Linked DNA regions of Arabidopsis thaliana. The protein of the gene in region 1 interacts with the protein of each later gene in a pairwise test. Each region holds a gene or a part of one and is shown in the gene's direction. Other genes may lie near its edges.

Evidence for each region. The genes of interacting proteins can lie anywhere in the genome.
Region 2: the proteins of CSTF77 (region 1) and CSTF64 interact in binary tests that used the Arabidopsis thaliana proteins (3 or more experiments, as listed by UniProt).

Annotation. Positions count from the first base shown.
Region 1 is NC_003070.9:6,110,582-6,118,382, reverse strand, and holds the start of CSTF77 (Tetratricopeptide repeat (TPR)-like superfamily protein), read left to right. Parts: upstream 1-1,765; 5' UTR 1,766-2,111; coding exon 2,112-2,165; intron 2,166-2,269; coding exon 2,270-2,332; intron 2,333-2,417; coding exon 2,418-2,527; intron 2,528-2,666; coding exon 2,667-2,767; intron 2,768-3,068; coding exon 3,069-3,130; intron 3,131-3,207; coding exon 3,208-3,348; intron 3,349-3,463; coding exon 3,464-3,592; intron 3,593-3,822; coding exon 3,823-3,869; intron 3,870-4,240; coding exon 4,241-4,304; intron 4,305-4,406; coding exon 4,407-4,527; intron 4,528-4,724; coding exon 4,725-4,783; intron 4,784-4,869; coding exon 4,870-4,932; intron 4,933-5,074; coding exon 5,075-5,215; intron 5,216-5,621; coding exon 5,622-5,686; intron 5,687-5,865; coding exon 5,866-5,962; intron 5,963-6,354; coding exon 6,355-6,414; intron 6,415-6,804; coding exon 6,805-6,957; intron 6,958-7,052; coding exon 7,053-7,119; intron 7,120-7,206; coding exon 7,207-7,284; intron 7,285-7,372; and 3 more. UniProt on the Arabidopsis thaliana protein: One of the multiple factors required for polyadenylation and 3'-end cleavage of pre-mRNAs. Required for the targeted 3' processing of antisense transcripts that triggers transcriptional silencing of the corresponding sense gene.
Region 2 is NC_003070.9:26,997,427-27,002,997, forward strand, and holds CSTF64 (cleavage stimulating factor 64), read left to right. Parts: upstream 1-1,947; 5' UTR 1,948-2,179; coding exon 2,180-2,216; intron 2,217-2,318; coding exon 2,319-2,397; intron 2,398-2,503; coding exon 2,504-2,678; intron 2,679-2,771; coding exon 2,772-2,808; intron 2,809-2,904; coding exon 2,905-3,137; intron 3,138-3,235; coding exon 3,236-3,313; intron 3,314-3,417; coding exon 3,418-3,453; intron 3,454-3,549; coding exon 3,550-3,933; intron 3,934-4,014; coding exon 4,015-4,188; intron 4,189-4,271; coding exon 4,272-4,424; 3' UTR 4,425-4,431; intron 4,432-4,534; 3' UTR 4,535-5,032; downstream 5,033-5,571. Other genes in the region: CPB (Subunits of heterodimeric actin filament capping protein Capz superfamily), read left to right, coding at 230-312, 401-474, 638-757, 885-980, 1,276-1,359; AT1G71810 (Protein kinase superfamily protein), read right to left, coding at 5,176-5,280, 5,398-5,517.

The DNA of each region.
Region 1 (7,801 bases):
TCTCTGGATGGGTGAAATAAGCATAATTACTAATTTAGAACAAAGATATTTAATATACGATAAAAAAAACTACTACCTATGTTCCTAAATCCTAACAGAACGATGTTTTAGTTTTTTCGCACATGAATAAGTAATCTTACTTTTTTGCTAAGTTTTTGTAAATTTAATAATATTAATTATGTTTTTCTCTTTCTATATTGATAACATATGAAAGTAATAATGATGTTGAAACAAAACATTAATCAATTATGAAACAAAAAATTCCAAAATATCAATCTATTAGACTAAGAGGCAATACTTAATAGGGGACAAAAATCTGGTCTTAAAGTGTGCTACAAAATTTTCATGCACACGAATAAAAAAAATTGTATTACCAAATTAAAATGTAAACCCATGCATACTTTACGTACATACAGTATATTTTTTTTGCTAAGAATGTAAATATTTCATTAAAAATGAAAACAATTTAGGTTTACAATCCAAAGATTATACTCCTAAAGAAATGGTCCCATGACAAAAAAAGCAAAAAACATGGAAGCATAGATCTTAGAAACATTTTCAGTCCATCCACTCAAACATAAGCACAAATGCTAATGGAGTAAGACGAAGTGATGACGATTTTGAAGTTCTTCCCGGCTCTGATGCTTGAGACGAAGGGCGAATGCAAATTGAAGAGCCGAATTACCAAGATACAAGACACTAGAAGCCTTTCACAGGAGGTCCGAGACTGTGCCGTCAACGGCCCGTCAAAGGATTCCATGAGCTCTCACAGAACGAAACCCCACAAACCAAAGAATGTGAACAATGTGAGCTCACCCTACCAAGTTCCTTCCCGAAGTCGCATAGTACAGAGCTAGATTTTTGAGAGCTAGATTTTTCAACTCAACGCCACACTGAACACCAATAGTCTTACTAACTCCTCTAGTGCCTAGTGAAAAAGCAACCATAGCAAAACGCATTGCAACGCAAGAACTACGACTCTAGGCAACATCAATGGCAAGACACAACAAAACCAGGGCTTATTAGCAAATACAGTATACTATGTATTCGCCCTATATAACAAATATATTAGTTAGGATTCAAACTATAATAAATTACCTATACTATGTATAATAACTATAACATTCAAATGAAATTTCTTCATCTACGTCATTTAAATTAATTTAGATATGATGTTCATTTCCATAATTATCTATTAACGTTGAGTATAAAGTATTAGGCTCATATCTCTAAAGTTATCATTGTATCGACTTTAGAGCTAGAAACTTAAATTGATTTGATTTTGGAAATTGATGAATTAATTAATATCTTATATTACATGTCTATTTCATTGAAATATATCTTCTTATGATTAATTTCTTATTTTACATGTATCTTTATAAGTGTTAAAAGTGAATTCACGAATAAAAGCTATATAATGCTTACTAAAGTGTATATATACAAGCATTATTAGTTTAGTACATGTGGTACGAAAAATGGAGAGTAATTCATGATGTTTCCAAAGAACCTAGGCCAAAATAGATTTCAATCCCGCCAAAGATCTATCAGACTTCAAATTCGAATACACCAACTCTCTTGAACCTAACTTAACGGCTTAACGTTTTATGTACTTAGGAAATTAGTGAAGGAAAAAAAAAAAGAGAGAAATATTAGAAATCGAAAAGATATTGTATGTACCGTAATCGGTCCAACTTACTTTTAATGGGCCAAAAATCTAGGCCCGTAATATTTTTAATATAAGTTTAGTAGAATCCACGTGGACAGTAGAACCGCGGAAAATATTCGTTTCCTGAAGACGGACCGGTTGCTTTGAGTTTCCCCGTTCGACAATAGGGTATCACCGACCACCGTGTTTCGGGCAGACTCGTCGGAGGAGTGTTAAAATTGTTGAATCTCAGATTAGGGTTTACTTCTATGGTAAACTTCTGAAGGTCTGTCTGTTTTCCTGATCTGAGGTCCTTCTAGGGATTTTTTTTTATGGCGTTGAAGCAGCAGAAGCTTTAGCTAGACTTGTCGGAAGATTGTGACACTTATTGAATCTCAGATTAGGGTCTACTTATATTACCATTGAGTGGAATATTTGAAAGACTGTTCTTCCGAAGGTGAAATTCATGGCTGATAAGTACATCGTCGAGGAAGCAGAGGCTTTGGCCAAGAGAGCTTTGGTACAATTCTTTCCCCAGCTATATACTTGTCTGACTTCTCGTACTCTTTCATAAAGTTTAGATTTTTACTTGTTGGGTTTCGTAAAATTGTGTCCTTTCCTCAGCATTCACCAATTGCACAGGCGACGCCGATCTACGAGCAGCTTTTGTCACTTTATCCCACTTCTGTAAGTTTCCCATGACTTTGCTTCCACGTATTTTAAGAGTTTCCTGATGTTTTTGGTTAATTGTGAGCTCCTTTGTACTCTGTAGGCGAGATTTTGGAAGCAATATGTGGAGGCACAGATGGCTGTAAACAATGATGATGCTACCAAACAGATATTTAGTCGTTGTTTGTTGACCTGCCTTCAAGTTCCTCTTTGGTAATGCCATGTTACCCTTTATTAGTCGTTGATAAGAGTCAATTTAACATCTTTTCGTCTCATTGTTGGGTTTCTTGCTCAGCTGCAATGCAAGTCTTGCCATCTCCTTGGATATAATTCTAACATCTTATTCTCTCAGGCAATGTTACATTCGGTTCATCAGAAAGGTCTACGACAAGAAGGGAGCAGAGGGTCAAGAGGAGACCACAAAGGCTTTTGAGTTTATGCTTAACTATATTGGTATTGCTTCTCTTCCGCAGTTTTGGCTCTATTTTGTTTGTTTTTCATTTCAATCATGTCTCATACATAGAGGGAATTTTTTCCGTTTTGTGAGTAATGAATACAGTTATGTTTAGTAAACAATATGATTTGATCAATTTTATGCTTAATATAGTTGCTAATGATAACTATTCATCAGCAATAGCAAGCACATAGTTACGCTTCGTGTCTATGTAGACCTCTAGTTTCCCTTTATCATGCCAACACATAACACAACTTGGGCCTTACAGATGGTTGTTTATTTCGATTTATGAATCTCCAGGGACAGACATCGCATCAGGGCCTATATGGACTGAGTACATTGCCTTTCTAAAATCTCTTCCGGTTCGTTATATCACTCTAACTTTGTCCTTGATACTAATAATTTGTTATTGCAGAGAAACTAATAGATTCCCATGCAGGCTCTTAACCTCAACGAAGATTTGCATCGGAAGACTGCTCTTCGAAAAGTGTATCATAGAGCTATATTAACTCCGACCCACCACGTTGAACAACTTTGGAAAGATTATGAAAACTTCGAAAATACTGTTAACCGTCAATTGGTAAACTTCTAAGAAATTAAAATTATGTGGCTTCTTATTTTCATGAAAAGAAGCAGGTACGAACTTCATTCTCTTGGCTTTGTTGATGGATAATCTAATCTAATCATGTGAGCAGGCAAAAGGACTTGTAAATGAGTATCAACCAAAATTTAACAGTGCCAGGGCTGTATATAGGGAGCGCAAGAAGTACATTGAAGAAATTGATTGGAACATGCTTGCTGTCCCACCAACAGGAACTTCCAAGGTAAAGAATTTATCATCCATTGCTTCTTTTTGGAACTGCTGAGTGCTGAATGTACAATTATTTTCTTATCTTTTTGAGTTCGATAAGATTGGATATATTGACTCTTAAACTGCCTAAAAGACATTATGAGCATAATTCACGTCATGAGATCATGTTATTAAGATAGGAAATACATATTGAGTATCATCTGCTTACTTTGCTACTTTACACCGTCTTATGGTTTTTTGCAGGAAGAAACCCAGTGGGTGGCCTGGAAAAAGTTCTTGTCCTTTGAAAAGTAAATCCCCAATTATCATATACAGTTTTTAATTTTAATATACATTCCATTCAGTGATGATGTGTGTTTTACGTATCTCCTTAGCCATTGTTTCTCTACCATAGCTAGATTTTAATATATCGCAACAGTTAATTGGTCCCTTGGTAGATTTTTTTGATTTTTTCGGTTTACGCCTAATGGTAAGACTTTTATATCTTGTTCCGTCTCTGTGTTTTGCCGATTAAGATTTATGATATTAACTAGAGAGCTGGAATAAATTACTATCCAGTTATGTCTCCAACAAGTGATGATGAGGTCTTATGCATAGAATTGTTTAACGAGTCCTTCTAAATATAACAAACTTCTGTATCTAATACAATTGTAAATTTCAGAGGAAACCCTCAAAGGATTGACACGGCCTCGTCAACTAAGCGGATTATATATGCCTATGAACAGGTATGCGAAGAGTCAGTGAGATGCTCTTGCTGAAATTTTGGAGGACTAATCTCCGAAATGTGTTCATTTCTGAATTGACTGACTATTACTCTGGTTTTACAGTGTCTGATGTGTTTATATCACTATCCCGATGTATGGTATGACTATGCTGAGTGGCACGTAAAATCTGGTTCCACGGATGCTGCAATCAAAGTATTTCAGCGAGCTCTTAAAGCCATTCCTGGTAAAAATCTAATCTATCCTTTTTTCTTTATGTCTATGAACTAGTTGCTTTATGAAGGATCAACTATTACTCTTTGCTTACCTGCTGGCTTACTGTTTTAATCTTATCTTCTATCTACTCTTAAGAAGTCTATTTTCTCTCTGCGACTCTTTTATATTTTTTACTAAGTGTCTACATTTCCCACTCTCGTATGTCAGATTCAGAGATGTTGAAATATGCTTTTGCTGAGATGGAGGAATCTCGTGGAGCAATTCAGGTTTTTATTTCTTGCTGCTGGCTTCTTGTAATTTAGCTTTATTAGTTGTCCGCATACTCGTTGCTTATAGTTGTATGATTTTGCAGTCAGCGAAGAAATTATATGAAAACATTTTGGGGGCTAGCACAAACTCTTTGGCACATATACAAGTAAGTACGCTCAAGTTTCAAAATTTAGGACTTGCGAAGATTGGCATAAACAGCATATCTTTCACTTTGAAATTGTTTCTTTTCTCTGAAAACATTCTCATATGATATATACTTATATATATATATATATATTCTTTCGCAGTACCTTCGTTTTCTCCGGAGGGCTGAGGGTGTTGAAGCTGCTCGCAAGTACTTTTTAGATGCTAGAAAATCTCCTAGCTGCACATATCATGTGTATATTGCTTTTGCTACCATGGCCTTTTGTATTGACAAGGAACCAAAGGTGTATTTTCTTACCCACTATGTGGTGGTCTATATGCTATTTAGAACTGCTTTTGTCTTGTGAAGGAGGTAGTGGTCGTTCAGTCAAGTTCAGAACCCACTCGTCTTATTAGTCTCTTAGTTGTTTAAGTTAACCAGGACCCATGAGACTTTTGTGATAATAAAGTCAAAATGATTTGAATATTGGGGTGTTTTGGCTATTGATGCACTTAAACTCTTCATTTGTTTGCAAAATACATGTACGTTACTTTTATGCCTCGTACATTCCTCTTTGTGCCTTCATTTGTTCGATTCTTTAACAAAGAATTAACATGTTCTTGCAAGACATATATACTAATGTAAACCATCTGACTTCAATTTCTATTCAGTTTCACAATAAAAATCCTTATGTTTGTATTTTTATGCAGGTTGCACATAATATCTTTGAAGAGGGGTTGAAACTCTATATGAGTGAACCTGTTTACATCCTTAAGTAAGTGTCACTGTAGCTTTACTTAGCGTTCCATTTTCTTAAGATACTTGGAAGCTCTTCTTTATTGAAGAAATATTGAGACTTTAAGACCTTCTCAGATAAAATATCCTCAAACTTGTTTCTCTCCCAAACCTTCCTAAGACAGAATTTTAACCATCTGGTTTTGCTTTGCAATCTAGGTATGCAGATTTCTTGACTAGATTGAATGATGATAGAAATATCAGAGCTCTATTTGAGCGGGCATTAAGCACGTTACCAGTTGAAGACTCTGCTGAGGTACGCTGATAGTGATATATTGTTTCTCAAAGCTGTTAAAGTATGCAGATTTTGTTCTTAAGCATGAAAAGAGACAACAAGGAAAATTACTAACCTGCTAATGAAAATAACCAAACCGAGCACCTAATTTGATTATAGCATTTCTGAATGCTTAAATATGATAATGGTTTAGCAATTGGAGGTGTAATCTTGATGCACATCTGAGCCTTATGAACAGTGGTGGGGATAGTAGACATTTAAAACTGAACTGAAAGAGTCCAATATTATTGTGGTTCACATGTAATACTGTTTAAAATGCTAGAACAATAAAGAAGACGACTGGTGTCAATGGGTTACGCCGTTATGCTAATTGATTTCTAGGATTAACTTTTTTCTTGCTCCATGTTTTGTAGGTCTGGAAAAGATTCATTCAGTTTGAGCAAACATATGGAGATCTTGCTAGTATTCTAAAGGTATTTTAACTCATTGAATGTTGTCAACGTATACGAGGAAAGCTACTATTATTAGCTTCCTGTGTTTTGTTAGCATTTTTTGTAGTTGTTTTTCGGTTGACTCCATTATGATGATAAGTTTGTTGAAGGGTCCAAACATTTATATCTATTCCATCTTACTGGCTTTTAGTTGCATGGAAGATCTAAAAATGCTGACACGTTCAACTTATTGCTAGAATAGACTATGTCAGACTCGCACCTCATAAAAGAGACATTTGATCAACGATGAAATTTACTGAAATCAGATCCACGATACATCCAGTATCAAGTGTGGCTGTTTGATGGAGTAGTCTGCTTATCTTCTTAGTTTTTTGCTCATAAATTTTCTTTACTATGACAACCTTGTTGTAGGTTGAGCAGAGAATGAAAGAAGCACTTTCTGGAAAAGGGGAAGAGGGGTCTTCTCCTCCAGAGAGTTCACTTCAAGATGTTGTTTCTCGGTACAGTTACATGGATCTTTGGCCATGCACTTCTAACGACCTTGATCATTTAGCCAGACAAGAGGTATTTTCCATGCAACATATCGCAATTAGCTCAAATAGCTACTAATGATACATCTAGTAAGTACTAATTCTAACCGATCAATGTGTTCACTATAGTTGCTTGTGAAGAATCTGAATAAGAAAGCAGGGAAAACAAATCTACCTCATGTTCCTGCGGCTATAGGTCTGTTCTTTTTAATTTTCTGGTGTGATGGATTATGTTAAACTTTGGTGATGACTGAAGTAAATAAACCGCCTTCTGGGCTGACAGGTAGTGTAGCTTCTTCGTCAAAAGTTGTTTATCCAGATACATCTCAGATGGTTGTTCAAGACCCGACAAAGAAATCAGGTATCTGATTTGCACTTTGCCGCAATATTTGGCTGCACGATGAATGGAATTGTTAACTTATTCTGAACCACTCATGATTTGACTGTAGAGTTTGCTAGTTCTGCAAACCCAGTGGCAGCTTCTGCTTCGAACACCTTCCCAAGTACTGTGACTGCAACTGCAACTCATGGATCAGCCAGCACATTTGACGAAATACCAAAGACTACTCCACCTGCATTGGTAGCATTTTTAGCTAACTTGCCTATTGTGGACGGTAAATCTCTTAAAAACCAACTCCAAGTTGTATCTGAACTGAGCACCTGAATAAGTGTCCACTAACCAACTAGTTTATCATTATCTTCTCAATTCGCAGGTCCAACACCCAATGTGGATGTTGTTCTGTCGATATGTTTGCAGAGCGACTTTCCAACAGGTCAAACTGTAAAGCAGAGTTTTGCTGCTAAAGGCAATCCTCCAAGTCAAAACGATCCCTCGGGTCCAACCCGCGGTGTGTCTCAAAGATTACCAAGAGACAGAA
Region 2 (5,571 bases), about 21 Mb from region 1:
CTCGTTCAACATGAAAACCATGTAGTGAAAGTAATTTGAGTTATCTAAGACGGAGACATAGTTAGCATCTGATCTGAAAAAAAGGCTTGCCTAGTCGTGAGATTTATCTCATGGTTTAACAATATATGATATGTGTTTCATTCTTCTAATGTATCCATTAGACTGGAGACTGAAAAAAGCTTGCAAAGTTACCAAAAGAACACCTGTGTTGATCAGTTTTCTTTTCCAGGTATTATGAAGGTGGTATATCTTCAGTCTACATGTGGGAGGATGATAATGAAGGCTTTGTGGCATGTTTCCTTATCAAGAAAGGTACATTCTTTCTGTAGAGTTCAATAACACTGAATGTTAGGCAATAAAAACTCTTTACCTGAGCTGTTCTGGTTTTTATTTTTCGAAGATGGGTCAAAGTCAGGTCATGGTCGGAGGGGATGCCTGGAGGAAGGAGCGTGGGATGCCATACATGTTATACAGGTGACTCTCTTAACATACCATTACCAAGCGTGCCTTATGTGTTTTAAAATGTTGCCCATTTTGTAACACATACCACCCTCAATTGCAACTTTATCATAGTTTCCTAAGCAGCTCTTTAATGAGACTTCATATTTTGCTTCTAATGCCTGAGGTTCTCAACTAGGTTGGTTCAGAGGAGGAGGAAATGGCACAATATTGCTTAACAAGTACCATCATGCTTTCTCTGACAACTGATGATGAGTCTTCGGGCAAATTCGGCTTATCTGGATCAATTAGAAGACAAGTAAGTATTAGCTTCTATTTAGCCCATGCCTTCATAGATAAATAGTTCCTGGTATGAATTGTGATTCAATGGAGGAAAACCAAATATCTGTAAAAGAATAACATTATTCTGCTACTGTTGAAATTAGATGAAAATGGAGCTAGCAGTAGCTGACGGACACCTGTGCAATATGGGGAGAATGATTGAAGAATTGGAAGGCAAACTGAGGAACTCACTTGATCAGGTTCTACCTCCAATCCCTGCACCAATTCCACAAACTCCGTCTACTTGTGTAACCGCCATATATGCTGAAAATGGTTTCTTAATTACCGGCATTCGGATTGCTTAGTTAGTTAAAGCTCATGCTACAGTTGTTCTGTGGTGCTTGGCAGACCCCAAAATAAGTAAACGAGAATTGTAGGATAAGTTTTAGATCAAATCACTTTCTAACATCTCATGAATTAATCTAGACCAAGAGAAAAGAATAACGTAATGTGCGTAGCTTCAAGGGTTTGAGAATTGTTTGGTGAAAAGCGCAGGTTTACTTTGGGAAGACAAGAGAAATGGTTTGCACATTGCGTCCACCAGCTGAGATTGTACAAATGAGATTGCCTGACACCTGACCTGATGCTCCTCCGATCACGCTTTATGTAAGAAGGTCTCGATATTTGTTTGTTTTGGTTGGTCTGATCTTAAACGCTTCTCCGAGTGTTTTGTGTGGATGTCTCTTACTCCCATGTTTTTCTCTGACTTCACCATCATGTGACCATCTTTTCCCATAAATATAACGAATGATGCAGTTTTAAAAGTCGTATAAATATTATGGAAATGCTTGGTTTTCTCCAAAAGTATAGAATAGCAGAATCAGTGGTGGCTGCGACATGTTGTGAACTTAGGACCTAAAGCATCAAACCTCATTTAGTGATATCGCACTGCCTTCGACATGCATACCGAATGGACAAAGAAAGTAAGAATCCTTGATGTAATCGCCATATGAGTCCGTTTAGCGCCTAGGTGCCATCTAGACGGTCAGTAACTAATAACAACCTAATCAATAACTATACAAATATTTTTGTCCAACATATAAAAAAAGATATTAAAATAAATTTCCTTTTAACCAAAATATCAGTTTCCTTTTTCGGCTTTCTTTTTTTTATTCTTGTTGTAGAGAGAGATATAAATAAATATCGACGACGACGGTACTAATCGTTTTGCTAAATAATTTCATTCGTCTTCTCTTCTTAACTCTTTAAAACCAAAAACTGAAAAATAAAGACAAAAAGTCTCCTATCGACGACGAATACGAAAGATCTCTCTCTTCAGAAGAATTTAACGAAACTCAACTGTTTCGAATTCGATTTGAATCTCGACCCGTTACTTAGCAGGAAGAAGATGAAGCAGCGCTTCACCTTCTTCTTCGTTATCTTCTCTTAATAATCCCCAATGGCTTCATCATCATCCCAACGACGCTGCGTTTTTGGTAACTCACTCTTCTTCTTCTTCTTCCATTATCACTCTGTGAATTCTCTTCGATTTTGGATTCAATTGGCTTAAAGTTTTCGACTTTCTTCGTCTATTTTAGTTGGGAACATTCCTTACGACGCGACCGAGGAACAACTTAGAGAAATTTGTGGAGAAGTTGGACCTGTTGTCTCGTTTAGGTCAGTTTTATCGTTCAATTATGATTTAGGGTTTTGATAAAGGAAACACTTTTCTTCAAACAAACGAAACACAGAAGCCTAAAAAACTTTGCTTTATTGGATTCAGATTAGTTACGGATAGAGAAACTGGTAAACCAAAAGGCTACGGATTTTGTGAGTATAAAGACGAAGAAACAGCATTAAGTGCTCGTCGTAATCTTCAGAGTTATGAAATCAATGGTCGTCAATTAAGAGTTGATTTTGCTGAGAATGACAAAGGCACTGACAAAACCCGTGATCAGGTTACTCCTCTCTCTCTTTCTTCTTTCAATGTTGGATGGTTTTTAACTGTTGTCAAGAAGTTATAACTAAAGATGGTAAATTTGGGTTTTCAGAGTCAAGGAGGACCTGGTTTGCCATCTACTACTACTGGTATGTTTTGTTTTCAGTCTCTGATACTTTACTGACTGCAATTGTGTTTGGATGAACACAAACTTATCGTTGTTCTTCTTTCTTTTGGCTGTTTAGTGACAGAGTCTCAAAAGCAGATTGGAGGGCCAGTAGATTCAAATATGCATCAGCCAGTTGGTCTCCACCTTGCTACAACAGCTGCATCTGTTATAGCGGGTGCGCTAGGTGGTCCTCAGGTCGGTTCGCAGTTTACGCAAAGTAATCTGCAGGTTCCAGCTAGTGATCCCCTGGCTCTTCATCTAGCCAAGATGTCAAGAAGTCAGCTTACTGAAATTATATCGTCCATTAAGGTGTGAATCTTGATATCGTTTTTTCTTTCTTTTTTTGGGTGCATTGTTATACTATTGGAAGCGAGTTGTGTGATGTGATTGTGTTCTCTCAATGTCAGTTAATGGCTACACAAAATAAGGAACATGCTAGACAGTTGTTGGTTTCAAGACCTCAGTTGCTAAAAGCTGTTTTCCTGGTACTCACTCATCCTCTTATTGTGCAAATCATTTTTCATTATTGACAAATATTTCTTATGATACTTACACCATATTTGAACCTTTACTTTGTCTACCCTTGTAGGCGCAGGTAATGCTTGGGATTGTGAGTCCGCAAGTGGTAAGTTTTCCATCTTATCGAACAGTTTTGTGCTACTTCCTTCTTTATCTATCTGTCATGTCTTAAGAGGACTATTGCCATTCTTGAATTGTGCAGTTACAGTCGCCAAATATTGTTCAGGCCCCAAGTCATATGACAGGGTCTTCAATTCAAGATGCGCAATTATCTGGTCAAAACCTTTTACCGCCACTGGCACAAAGGTCACAGCAGCTAAGTCGTGCTCCCCATAGTCAGTATCCTGTCCAGCAATCTTCTAAACAACCTTTTAGTCAGATTCCACAACTAGTAGCACAACCAGGTCCTTCTTCTGTGAATCCTCCTCCTAGATCCCAAGTTAAAGTCGAAAACGCTCCATTCCAACGCCAGCAAGTGGTTCCAGCTTCCACCAACATAGGTTATAGTAGTCAGAATTCAGTTCCGAATAATGCTATCCAGCCATCTCAAGTACCCCACCAAGCATTACCAAATTCTGTGATGCAGGTGAGTTTCCACAATATTTTTATTTGTTTTTTTGGATTCCTCTGAACATAACTTCTCATGTGTAATTTACTTACATTACAGCAAGGTGGGCAAACGGTATCATTAAATTTTGGCAAAAGAATAAACGAGGGTCCTCCTCATCAATCAATGAACAGACCATCAAAGATGATGAAAGTGGAGGATAGGAGAACTACTTCACTCCCTGGAGGTCATGTGTCTAATTCAATGCTTCCGAATCAAGCACAAGCTCCCCAGGTATTATCAATCACATCATCTAATGTCGCTTAGAATGCCCTGAATAAATCTATTAATCGGTAAAATCCTTACTCTTCTTCCAGACACATATCTCTCCCGATGTTCAGTCAACATTGCTCCAGCAAGTAATGAACCTTACGCCAGAACAGTTGAGATTACTGACTCCAGAGCAACAACAAGAGGTCTTAAAGCTGCAACAAGCCCTCAAGCAAGACCACATGATGCAGCCTTCATAGCATTGAGGTAGGTTTGTTATATATATATCATCGACCTGTGTTGCTGTCATTCTTCTCTGTGATATTTGAATCTAATACTCGTCTCGGTTTCACCTCTCTGATATATACAGGGGAAAGCAACACGGTTGGTCGATTTCATTGAATAGATCAAAAAGGATATTTTTCCGCATACAAATCACCATAGAAAGAAGAAGGCTCTCTCACCTGAATTGAGGTGAGTGATTGTACGATTAGTGTAGCATTTATTTGTGCTGAGTTTGTCTTATAGAAGAAACATTCAGCCATCAAAATATAAAAGAAAGGAAAAGTTATAAGTTCAAAGTCTCAGACCAACTGTGTTCGCCTCTCTCTTTTGATTTTTATTTTGTTTACTGTCTTTGTTTCCTGCATTAACACACAACTCTCGTACTCGTTCGTTGGTTTTAATCCTGTGGCCCCTGGTTTGGTCACTGGTGAAGATTTTAGTATTTTAATAAACATTTTATTTTCACTACACATGTATTTCGGCTACGCTTACAAGTTATAAATATGGGGAAAAAATAAGGTTGACTAAAACGAGCTTTGACAAAACAAAAACTGAGATTGTTTTATTTGATGAAGAAGATGTTGATGCTTTTCTTTTATAAATATGCTGTTGTGGGATCAAAACAGCCATTCCTCTGATTCTCTTCAAGTTTATGTAAAAATTATAAATAACTCAAATCACAGTAGTCTTGTCTAAAATCTGCAAGTTTTTATTTGTAATCGGACATCAAAGAAAAATCCTGCGAATGGTTCTAGCAAAAGCCCGAGTCACCAATCTTCCAACCAAGTCACCTGGCAACTGAAGCAACCTCTGTTGTGATTCCTGTGGAAGCTGCCACGTTTCATTCAAACCCCAAAAAAGACGTTAGGACAATTATTCTAGTATCACAAAATCTTAAATACTGTAATGAACTCGTAAAATCAAGTTCAGTTTTGCAACATCTGTTACCTCAGGTAATATGGAGAGAATCGGAAGCATCTCTTGTGCTGATGGAAGCTGATACATGACCAGTGATGCTTCGTCTAGAGGCGTGAGCGCCTCACCATATTTACTCACCGCTTTTACTTGCTGCAATTTTGTTGCCCAAAACATTAATTAAAGATAAAAATAGCAGAAGAAAAG